Linked DNA regions of Saccharomyces cerevisiae S288C. The gene in region 1 interacts genetically with each later gene. Each region holds a gene or a part of one and is shown in the gene's direction. Other genes may lie near its edges.

Region 1 (6,109 bases):
GACAACGCAACTGAAACACTAGATGGCCTCTCAAGGTTAGTTTCTGCTTCGCTGTCTTCCGCAAGCTCTAACTCTTCCAGTGACTCAACTACTTTGGTTCTGGACTTATTAAAAGACTCCGATAACCCACAGAATTCCACAGATGCATTGCTAACTCTGAATAATCTGACAATGTCAGAAAAGGCGCAATTGTTACCGGTATTCAGGCTATTCGCTTTCTCCACGAACCAAACAGCTACAATGACGGCTCTGGCGACCTTGATGAACACTACTATTTCATCTTCTTTAGCCCAAACACTATTAACTCAGTTACAAAACACAATTTCAAACGGAGGTTCCCTAAATAACACGTTTAGTACTTTGCAACCACTAGTGCCGCAGGCAAGCGCCCCCGCATTTGATGCAGTGGAATTGCTGCTAAACCAGACCACCTCTACAAATCAGACATTGAGCACTCTATCTGATTTGCTGGAACAAAACCTCACTCAGTCATCATCTGCAAAAAAGGCGTTTGCTGCCTTAACCCAATTGATGGAAAATTCGGACAACTCGACAATGGTTGTCACTTCGGTCCAATCTCTAGCTGCGGTGACAAATACAACTCAATCTACTCAACAGCTAATTGGATTAGATGATGTGATAAGCTCCTCGAGTAACACCAACGAAACTTTGTCCATCTTGTCCGAATTACAATCGGGCCTATCCGGTAATTCAAGCTCCGTACAGTACATTCCATATCTCTTCAGTCTTTTAGGGGCATCCACTGATCCTAAAACAACATTTTCATCTTTAGTGACGCTGACTTCCTGGGCTCAAGAAAACCCTCAGACCTTCTTGCCCATTTTAGATATATTAGCGGATGCCAAATCCGTCCAACCGATTTCCGCAGAAGAATTGAACGCCATGACGCCGAATATACTAGAGTATCTGAAAATTCCGATTTACTATCGCTTATCCATTTTCACGCTATGCCATGCTAACCTGGAAAACAAGATCCTAGATTGTAACTCCCCACATGCTGTACAAAACTTGGATTTTAGATCGATTATTTATGACGCATTAGTCACATCAGACTTCCAACCATATCTGAACGCCCTGAATATTAGCGCCAACGATCTTTACCTAGAAGGGAAACTTTTACACAGAGAGCACCAATATGTGCCAGCAGTGAGGTCTGTTTTGGCTTTGAACCTCTTAGCGATCATCTTTTCCTTCTTTACCATGATTTTTATTATATTACTGTACTTTAACAGATATATGTTCAAACAACCATTATGGCTCATTGCCCTAGCTCTACACGTTTGCGTTGGTGTAGCCACTGTATTGGCAGCCATTATCATATCCGTTATGATTGCCATTATAAAGAGCGGTACGGCAGATGATAAATATGGTGTTGTGTTTAAAGCCGGTCCCGCCTATACAGGGCTGATATGGACAGCATTTGCGTTGTCTTTTATCGCCACAGGATTGATAATTTATACGTGGTGGAGGAACAGACGGAGTGGTCGTTACATGTCCGGATCTGTGACGAATAGGAAAGGCGAAATTTACACGTATGGGGATGGTTCTGCCATTTCTGCAGACCGTTTCGGCGACCATAACTTGGGTGATGATGATGATGCTGATTTCGAAAAACAGGTGAATCGTAATGAAATAACCGCTATCGACAACAGTAGTTCTGCCAATAATACAGATGTCACAGGTAGTACGAGTAATAGAACAGAGCTAAGTCACCCCGACGTGACACCAAAAGATTCAAATGGACCTGTTAACAATAATGCACATTTGGTAGCATAATTTTTTTCTTTTTCGTAAATGCTCTATCACTTTTTTTCAATTGTACCAAACCATTTACAGCGTTATCTTAATCTCTTATATTGAATTATAGTACATACCACACCATCATCCTTATTTAATAGCTTTATTTAAATTTCAAAACAAAAATTAATAATAATTTGGTAATTATTCATATTTTTGGAATATATGCAATTAATGTTCTTTCGTCTTTGATGTATATTCCTTCGGCGTTAATTACAACTATCACCGTAAAGTTTTTACCACCCTCCGAAAGATTAAGGGCGGCAATGAAATGTGGAGTAAAGTGAATGTTAGATGATGATATTGATGGCTTTGCTCGATCAAAGATAATATTATATTTAAGTATCATCTTGTCCTCAATCCGGTACAAAACAAACGTCTTCAACATTGTTATCTGTATTTTGTTCGTCTTGAATATGGAAAAGACTCAAAAGGGATAATAATACAATTAAAAGTTACCGAAGAAAGATTTTATAATGATCTCAACAGCTTCTGCATTTTATCAGAAGCATAGAGTAAATTTACTGCGTTCTTCATACATAATATTGTTGCTAGCCACGCTTTACAATTCAAATTCCAGTTCTAGTAACAACAAAACTGATAAGAAGGATTCTGAGTCAACGGTTTTAGAAAATAAGAAAATTGAAGAGGGAAAAGAAACCGCAGTAGATAGAGAGGAAGATGAAAGTAGCAAAGAAGAGTTAACGATAGTCTCCAAACATAGCACAGATTCAGAAGATGGTGCAATAATAATTGATAAAGAAAGCAAGACTAATCATAAGGGGGGAGAGCGAAAAGGAAAGGTAGATTTTTTGTTCAAACTTTTGCTTCATGATAAGAAGTGCCTCATTTTATTTATTACACAGGCTATTCTTCTGAACATCAGAACATTGCTGTCTCTTCGTGTGGCTACTTTAGATGGTCAATTAGTGTCCACACTAGTAAGAGCTCAATACGCAAACTTCACAAAGATATTGTTGGGGAAATGGATGATCCTTGGAATTCCCGCCAGTTTTATTAATTCACTGATCAGTTACACGACAAAACTTTGTGCTGTCACTATTAATAGGAAAGTTTCAGACTTTCTACTCTCAAAGTATCTATCTAATCACCATACTTTCTATTCCGTAGCTTCTGCTGAATCTGTTTCAGAAATTCAGGATAATTTGACAAAAGATATTTACACATTTTCAATGAACTCGTCATTATTACTGAATCAGCTATTAAAGCCAATGCTGGATTTGATCCTCTGTTCATTCAAATTATTAACCTCAAACACTAGTGTTATGGGTGAAGGAACTTTGGCACTGGGCTTAATTGTCTACGCCTCCAATTCATTACTAAAATTGATTCAACCGAATTTCACTAGGTTAACTATGGCAAGCGCATCTTTGGAAAGTTGGTTCAGATCTTTACACTCGAATCTACATTCAAGCAATGAAGAAATTGCACTGCTAAGAGGGCAAAAGAGGGAACTAGAAAACGTTGATTATTCATTTTACCGTTTGGTGCTATTTTTAAACAGAGAAATAAAGGCAAGAGCTATTTATGATGTTGCTACTGCATTTGTCATTAAATATACTTGGGGCGCAGCTGGCTTGGTACTATGCTCGATTCCAATATTTTTCAAAAACAAACCTAGTGAAGACACCTTACAGCTTAAGGAACCCGGGAATGATATGACGGCTGATTTCATCACAAATAGAAGATTATTAGTCACTGCATCTAGCTCTATCGGAAGATTTGTGGAACTGAAGAGAAATATACAACAATTACGCGGTATCAGATTGAGATTGAACAAGTTCAATGATTTGTTGGATGCTAATAAAGGTGATGACGAAAAAGAACCAAGAGATGAAAGGTGTATAGTGGAATATGATGATTCAAGGATAAAGTTTGAAAATATTCCTTTAATAACACCTGCCAATCAAGTTCTAGTACCGGAGCTAAGTTTTGATCTGAAGCATGGAAATCATCTACTAATTATTGGGCCCAACGGTTGCGGTAAATCTTCATTATTTCGTATTCTAGGCGGGCTTTGGCCGATAAGGGCGACTCCCAATAAAAATCATCAATCCAAGTTAATAATGCCGCGTAGAACTGTGGATAGAGATTGCGCAATATTTTATTTACCCCAAAGGCCGTATATGGGCAATAGGTCGACATTCAGGGAACAGATTATTTATCCAGACAGTATTGAACAATTCAAAGAAAGATATCACAATGATTATGATCTAGGCGATGCAGATTTAATAAAAATTCTGCAATTATTAGATTTGGAGGATTTAGTCACTGAAAATATGTCACTTCTGCTGGCGCAAAGGACTTCCAAAAATGATTCACAGCAGTTGTCGACGGAAGACAATCAGTCACCATGCGCCATTAAAGTTCGTGATGCATTCAGTATAGTAAGAAATTGGTCCGAAGAATTAACAATTGGTGTCCAACAAAGGTTAGCTATGGCAAGGATGTACTATCATAAACCCAAGTTTGCTGTGCTCGACGAATGTACATCTGCAGTAGCCCCAGAAATGGAACAAAGGATGTACGAAAATGCGCAAAATTTTGGTATCTCGTTAATATCAGTTTGCCACAGGACAAGTTTATGGCATTTTCATAACTATCTGTTAAAATTTGATGGTAAAGGCGGATACCAATTTGGACCGTTTAACCCGAAGGAAAGGTTATGTAATGAAGAAAAACTTCTTGAACTAAATGCCATCTTGGATCAACAGGTGCCACTTTGGGAGCGGAAGTTGAAAGATCTGACAATTGCTAAAGAATCCAACATCATTCGTAAATCAGAAACTAACCTGAATCTTTTTGAAAAGATCGAAGATCCAAAAACGTCCAAATCTAATGCATTGTTTAATGCAAATAAAGGGCAGCGAATCACATCACCTACAGGGCAGGAGACTAGTAAGAGATTACCACTATTTTCCCAACCATCTAGTTCAGCATCATCAAATTTACTAAGAAACAATAAAAGCTTGAACAAAAAAGTTAAAACAAAAAAGGAAGAAGGAAAGGAGAGGTAACATACATAGCCAAAGGAGGATCCAAATCATGTATAAATTGGATAAATAAATTGTTTTATAATAATTTAATATCTTGAGAAAGCGCTCATATTTACGGTTGATTGCTCAATTCCATGTACCGGATCCAACTGTACTGGCTTCCTCAGCCTCCGGTACCAACCTTTTTTTGTATAAATACGTAAAAATACAAAAGTCTGAACTATTTTTCCCTTTTTATGCAAATAAACACTTTCCTATATATAATTTTACTTTTGAATATTCATGTCACGACCCACTGCCTGAGAACTTTCCATTTTTTATAAAGTGAACCAAGTTTTATAGTTATCTTGAATCAGGTGAAGTTGAATGTGTTAAGATGGATGATTGATTGTTCATTACTGATGATGGAGAAGTTATACTGGCGACGTTACTTGAGGATGCATTATTATTAGAAACTTCTGTTGTGGACGAAATTATACGCGGCAAGGAATCAATTTCTTGAACGATGAATTCTCTTTCATCAAGAAAAGTAGAATCCTGAGAATCTAAACCGAAAGTTTTAAAATACGTCAATAGTTTATCTCTGTTTTTAACAAGAATGTCAAAAACAGGTTTTGACTTCCTTGGGTTTGCTACCATCACCTTGAATACGTTGAAAGCTTCAAGTTGTAAGTTTTTAGATTTGTCAGTCATTAAAGTCATTATGAGCTTTAAGTTTTCTGGGGAGTTGATATATATATTCATCAACGCGTTGTTAGATCTTATCACAATTAATGAGGCCAACAGTTTAGTGCTCTGCCTTTTCGTTACGTAGCTTCCATGAGCCATTAACTTGTTAATACATTTAATGAATCTTATGATATTAATCTCATTACTGAAGAATTCCTTAGACACTAATTTAGGATGTGCAGTAAATGCGGCACTTAATATTTGTAAAGATTCCGTACTGATTTCGAAATTACCCAGTTTCGCAAACTCAAAGAATTTCCATAGTTGAGGGTCCTTTAATATAATCCTACAAAGTTGTTCGTATTTGATACATTCAATAATCATATTCCCTACCGTTAAAAAGATATCTTGGCAACCCTTTTGTTGTAGAGCAACTTCCGCAGTCCTCAACATTAAAGATATGGTCTTTGGTTGCGAGACTAAATAATCTACTGTGACGAATTTATTATCCTTAGAGTATCCAAGGCATATAGAGAATATAAGCATGCATTCTCTCCTTGCTTCGAATTCCAAATCCACAAAATGAAGTAGCAGTTCATAGAACA
Region 2 (3,605 bases), on another chromosome or scaffold:
AACATCCTTTCTAGTTATATTAGACAATTGGAATTTATGTTCTTATTGACTTGTATTCTATAGTTATAGCGCTCTCTTGTCCAATTTCCTAGGTTACTCTTTTGCCACCGGTCTTGGTTTATGATAACCCTGTATAATGAAATTTCAAAAATATTTTCGTGAATAGTGATTTATTTAATTTAAGCACTAAATTATCCTTACGGACTTGGGCTACATTCATGTTTGCACGCTTAATAAAAAATCGGCGTACTTTCATCTATGCTTGGCTTATAATATGTTTGATAGTCAATTCATTTCAGTAAAAAGTCTTCAGCAGTAGTTGCAAAAGTGTCCTTTTTTACTTTTTGGGCTACATTATTCTTGAAAAAAGTTCATGTTTTGTTATTTCTTTCTCACATACTTTATAAAAAAAGATAATTTTTTTAAAAAAAAAAAAAAATACAAGTGGAACATTATCAAATAAAAAGCATTATAGCGCCACATGCGATGAACCTGAGCTTTTATCTTCATTAATATATAGTAATTACAACATGTTATTGAAATGCACAGCACTTATCCAGAGTTATTTGATATAAAGATTATGACTCAAATTCTTCTCGACAAACAAGAAACTTTCTCACCTACAAATGTCTTCAACAATTCTAATAATTGACACATAAGTATATTGTATATATAACATGGATATAAATGGCCCTATATTGAAAGCTATGTCAAAATAGGAATCCTTCCTTCCTCAGCGCTTTTTATCAAGGGCCAATTGATCTGATACACCTAGTAGTGTACTATAAGTGTAGAAAGCATACTATACTATTCGACACTTCCTTTCAATCCTGGAATTAACAGTCACTTTTAAAAAAGACATCTACCGTGAAGGTGCCGTAGAGTATCGCGTTACCATATCGCCAAAAACTGATATACGCCGCGGAAACCAGGCAAACAATTGAAAAGAAAAATTTTGAGGAACTCTCTGCATCGAAGCCGTCTAGAGTTACCACTAGTCAGATGCCGCGGGCACTTGAGCACCTCATGCACAGCAATAACACAACACAATGGTTAGTAGCAACCTGAATTCGGTCATTGATGCATGCATGTGCCGTGAAGCGGGACAACCAGAAAAGTCGTCTATAAATGCCGGCACGTGCGATCATCGTGGCGGGGTTTTAAGAGTGCATATCACAAATTGTCGCATTACCGCGGAACCGCCAGATATTCATTACTTGACGCAAAAGCGTTTGAAATAATGACGAAAAAGAAGGAAGAAAAAAAAAGAAAAATACCGCTTCTAGGCGGGTTATCTACTGATCCGAGCTTCCACTAGGATAGCACCCAAACACCTGCATATTTGGACGACCTTTACTTACACCACCAAAAACCACTTTCGCCTCTCCCGCCCCTGATAACGTCCACTAATTGAGCGATTACCTGAGCGGTCCTCTTTTGTTTGCAGCATGAGACTTGCATACTGCAAATCGTAAGTAGCAACGTCTCAAGGTCAAAACTGTATGGAAACCTTGTCACCTCACTTAATTCTAGCTAGCCTACCCTGCAAGTCAAGAGGTCTCCGTGATTCCTAGCCACCTCAAGGTATGCCTCTCCCCGGAAACTGTGGCCTTTTCTGGCACACATGATCTCCACGATTTCAACATATAAATAGCTTTTGATAATGGCAATATTAATCAAATTTATTTTACTTCTTTCTTGTAACATCTCTCTTGTAATCCCTTATTCCTTCTAGCTATTTTTCATAAAAAACCAAGCAACTGCTTATCAACACACAAACACTAAATCAAAATGGCTGTCTCTAAAGTTTACGCTAGATCCGTCTACGACTCCCGTGGTAACCCAACCGTCGAAGTCGAATTAACCACCGAAAAGGGTGTTTTCAGATCCATTGTCCCATCTGGTGCTTCTACCGGTGTCCACGAAGCTTTGGAAATGAGAGATGGTGACAAATCCAAGTGGATGGGTAAGGGTGTTTTGCACGCTGTTAAGAACGTCAACGATGTCATTGCTCCAGCTTTCGTTAAGGCTAACATTGATGTTAAGGACCAAAAGGCCGTCGATGACTTCTTGATTTCTTTGGACGGTACTGCCAACAAATCCAAGTTGGGTGCTAACGCTATCTTGGGTGTTTCTTTGGCTGCTTCCAGAGCTGCCGCTGCTGAAAAGAATGTCCCATTATACAAGCACTTGGCTGACTTGTCTAAGTCCAAGACCTCTCCATACGTTTTGCCAGTTCCATTCTTGAACGTTTTGAACGGTGGTTCCCACGCTGGTGGTGCTTTGGCTTTGCAAGAATTTATGATTGCTCCAACTGGTGCTAAGACCTTCGCTGAAGCTTTGAGAATTGGTTCCGAAGTTTACCACAACTTGAAGTCTTTGACCAAGAAGAGATACGGTGCTTCTGCCGGTAACGTCGGTGACGAAGGTGGTGTTGCTCCAAACATTCAAACTGCTGAAGAAGCTTTGGACTTGATTGTTGACGCTATCAAGGCTGCTGGTCACGACGGTAAGATCAAGATCGGTTTGGACTGTGCTTCCTCTGAATTCTTCAAGGACGGTAAGTACGACTTGGACTTCAAGAATCCAAACTCTGACAAATCCAAGTGGTTGACTGGTCCTCAATTGGCTGACTTGTACCACTCCTTGATGAAGAGATACCCAATTGTCTCCATCGAAGATCCATTTGCTGAAGATGACTGGGAAGCTTGGTCTCACTTCTTCAAGACCGCTGGTATTCAAATTGTTGCTGATGACTTGACTGTCACCAACCCAAAGAGAATTGCTACCGCTATCGAAAAGAAGGCTGCCGACGCTTTGTTGTTGAAGGTCAACCAAATCGGTACCTTGTCTGAATCCATCAAGGCTGCTCAAGACTCTTTCGCTGCCGGTTGGGGTGTTATGGTTTCCCACAGATCTGGTGAAACTGAAGACACTTTCATTGCTGACTTGGTCGTCGGTTTGAGAACTGGTCAAATCAAGACTGGTGCTCCAGCTAGATCCGAAAGATTGGCTAAATTGAACCAATTGTTGAGAATCGAAGAAGAATTAGGTGACAACGCTGTTTTCGCTGGTGAAAACTTCCACCACGGTGACAAATTATAAAGCTTTTGATTAAGCCTTCTAGTCCAAAAAACACGTTTTTTTGTCATTTATTTCATTTTCTTAGAATAGTTTAGTTTATTCATTTTATAGTCACGAATGTTTTATGATTCTATATAGGGTTGCAAACAAGCATTTTTCATTTTATGTTAAAACAATTTCAGGTTTACCTTTTATTCTGCTTGTGGTGACGCGTGTATCCGCCCGCTCTTTTGGTCACCCATGTATTTAATTGCATAAATAATTCTTAAAAGTGGAGCTAGTCTATTTCTATTTACATACCTCTCATTTCTCATTTCCTCCTAATGTGTCAATGATCATATTCTTAACTGGACCGATCTTATTCGTCAGATTCAAACCAAAAGTTCTTAGGGCTACCACAGGAGGAAAATTAGTGTGATATAATTTAAATAATTTATCCGCCATTCCTAATAGAACGTTGTTCGACGGATATCTTTCTGCCCAAAAGGGTTCTAAGCTCAATGAAGAGCCAATGTCTAAAC
Region 3 (2,786 bases), on another chromosome or scaffold:
CCTGCCATAACTGAAGGTGGTAAAGTCGTGGTGAAAATGAAACCAGGTGCAAACGATCTGAACCAATCGATCAATTTCCTAGAGGCTGCGACGTAGCCACCTACGCTACCGAAAGACTTACCTAAAGTGCCGGTGATCATGTCGACACGGTCCATCACAGTCTTCGCGCCGCCCTTGTCATTGGTCTTTGGGGTAGCAATACCACTTGCACGGTGACTTTCAAAATCACAATGTTCTGCAACACCTGCACCGTGAGGGCCGTACAGGCCGACCGCATGTACTTCATCCAAGAAGGTCAAAGCACCGTATTTGTCGGCCAAGTCGCAAATTTTTTCTATGTCGGCCACTGAACCGGCCATAGAATATACTGATTCGAAAGCAATTAGTTTAGGAACGGATTTGGGGTATGACTGGAGCAGTTGTTCCAATTCGTTCAAGTCATTATGTTTGAAAATGTGTTTTTTTACGTTAGCATGCTTAATACCGACAATCATGGACGCATGGTTGAGTTCGTCGGAGAAAATCACCAAGTCCTTCATCTTTTGACCCAGTAGGGATAAGACGGCATCGTTGGCTACGTAACATGACGAAAAAACTAAGGCACCTTCCTTCTTGTGTAAAGTGGCCAATTCGGCTTCCAGATTCAAAGTGGGGATGTTATGGCCAGCAATGTTTCTTGTACCACCGGCACCACAACCATACTTGTCGATAGTTTTATGCATGGCGTCCAATACCTCAGGGTGCTTGGAAAGTGCTAAATAGTCGTTGGAACACCAAACGGTGACCTTGTCCGCCTCTCTCTGGCGATGAGCTAGGGGGAACTCCTTGGCCAATCGGTTGATATTGTTGAAATATCTGTACGATTTGTCAAGTCTTTTCTTCTGCAGTTCGGAATCTATCAGGCCTTCGTAATCGAAACCCGACTCCTGGGTGGAATGGTTGGCAGCAGCGGCTGCTGCTGCTGCTGCATGTGTTGATGACGCTGTGGCAGTGGCAGCAGCGGCACCAGCACCAGTAGCGGTGGCATAGCCATTTTTCGCATGTGGTGCGGCTGTCGTGGACAGCCTATTCAGTGTGGAAACAGCGGCAGAGGAGTTACCGAACCTCGCAAAAATGGAGCGTTGCATACTGAAAAAAAAACCTAAGTACTGTTATGATTATTGAGGGACAACAACTAGCTCTATTAGTTTTCCTTCCAACCAAACTTATATGGGCAATATATAGGAAAGAAAAAAGAAAAGAGTGGGATAAAAAAAAAAGAAACGCGAGCTGAGAAGGGAAGGCGTGTAAAGGAAGAACGGTTGAGAGACAGCAGAGCAGGGTGCAACACACAACCGAATAGAGTATCAGCTGACGGAATGGAGAAGTTTGGTATGATGCAAACGTTGTATTTCTAACAACGCATGGATCAGAACAATGGGCAAGGCAAGATGAAAAATTTCCGTTCCTGCTCTTTCTTCATATATGAACAATGACCAAAAAGCGCCCGCGGCCGCAGACCAATGAGCGACGAAGGCGGCCTTTCCGAGCGGTAGGGTAAGCCGTGCAGGCAAGCTTATTATAGCACCGTCGGGGGTACCACCACTATATCAAACTCCACTGCTCGGTAAAGCATTGTAGTGAAGTCCACAGCAGTGCGTAACGAGCAGCTCAACAGTTAATATAAAGATGCGTTGGTGGCCGTGGTCAAATCAGACAGAAGATCAAAAGCAGCAGCAACAACCGCAGGGTAAAGCAGATGGTGATCGCGTGCTGACAAATTACTCGCGGGGTCAAAAGATCCTCTTAGAAGACACTCCACCCAAGTTTGCCGATGACTTGTCCAATTCTCAGTTGGCCAAGAAGCAAGAACGGGCTACTTTGAAAGAGGCTTGGGACTCGATCAGATGGAGTGATTTTAGTTTGCAGAAGCTGACTTCAATCCCGTGCTTCAGAGACGCGGGCATGCTCGGGTTTTCCAGCATGTTCTTGATGGGATCTATTATATTTATATACCATAAGAGCCCGACTAAGGCCACGAATTGGGCGATGAGCTCTCTGATACTGGGCTCGATTGTCGGATGGGAGCAATGTAGGCTAAAGAGACAAAAAAGTTTCCAGATCGCACAATTGGCAAAGGAAACCGTGGCGAAAAAGGAAAAACCAATGCTCCATAATGTCCCTCATGACCCATCTCTGCCGGGGCAATGGGAGGCCGCCAAAAATGAAAAGCAGAGTCAGTTTGAACAAAGTAACCAGAATTTATCTCAGGCCTCCTCTGAGAAGAAATGGTACAAGTTCTGGTGAAAAGAACGAGGGGGAAACAGAAGGTAGAAGCAGGGCCTTTTAACCGTTTTCCTATGTATATATGCAACATTTCTCCGAAAATACTATAACTTCAATTGTTCACTTTCTCCATTTCTATATAAAAAGCATACATAGAGTTACAAATTTTATATATTACTTGACTGGTCTTGCATGCCGTCCGTATCGCTGCTGTGATTGTCATTATCTTCTTTAATGGACAATTGTTTAAACGTTTGTGTGGTTTCCTCGGCAGAGTTTCTCGTAGGCGGTAAAGAAAATGAATTTTCTGTTCCCATCAAATTGTCTGTATCCTCATCTTCGCCATTTTTGCCGCCGCCATTGTTTCGTACCCCGTCCTTGTTTGAACTTGACTGTGAATGATTCGGTGTGGATACCGTTGAGGACCCCTTGGATTTGGGTAAAGATGTTTTTGATGTGGAAGGTTGGCTGGTTCCTTCTAGTAGTTCATTGAGCACCACGTCATTCCCACCCGTTTCCTC

Evidence for each region. Genes that interact genetically often act in the same process or in processes that back each other up.
Region 2: mutations in PXA2 (region 1) and ENO1 together harm fitness less than expected from each alone (positive genetic interaction), as found in Saccharomyces cerevisiae (one large-scale study listed by BioGRID).
Region 3: mutations in PXA2 (region 1) and COX20 together harm fitness more than expected from each alone (negative genetic interaction), as found in Saccharomyces cerevisiae (one large-scale study listed by BioGRID).

Annotation. Positions count from the first base shown.
Region 1 is NC_001143.9:84,972-91,080, reverse strand, and holds PXA2 (ATP-binding cassette long-chain fatty acid transporter PXA2), read left to right. Parts: upstream 1-2,294; coding exon 2,295-4,856; downstream 4,857-6,109. Other genes in the region: FAT3 (Fat3p), read left to right, coding at 1-1,797; HYM1 (Hym1p), read right to left, coding at 5,178-6,109.
Region 2 is NC_001139.9:999,136-1,002,740, forward strand, and holds ENO1 (phosphopyruvate hydratase ENO1), read left to right. Parts: upstream 1-1,791; coding exon 1,792-3,105; downstream 3,106-3,605. Other genes in the region: PUP2 (proteasome core particle subunit alpha 5), read right to left, coding at 1-5; putative N,N-dimethylaniline monooxygenase COQ6, read right to left, coding at 3,388-3,605.
Region 3 is NC_001136.10:925,793-928,578, reverse strand, and holds COX20 (Cox20p), read left to right. Parts: upstream 1-1,668; coding exon 1,669-2,286; downstream 2,287-2,786. Other genes in the region: HEM1 (5-aminolevulinate synthase), read right to left, coding at 1-1,127; IVY1 (Ivy1p), read right to left, coding at 2,433-2,786. UniProt on the Saccharomyces cerevisiae protein: Involved in the assembly of the cytochrome oxidase complex. Required for the maturation and subsequent assembly of the mitochondrially encoded COX2, the precursor of subunit 2 of cytochrome oxidase.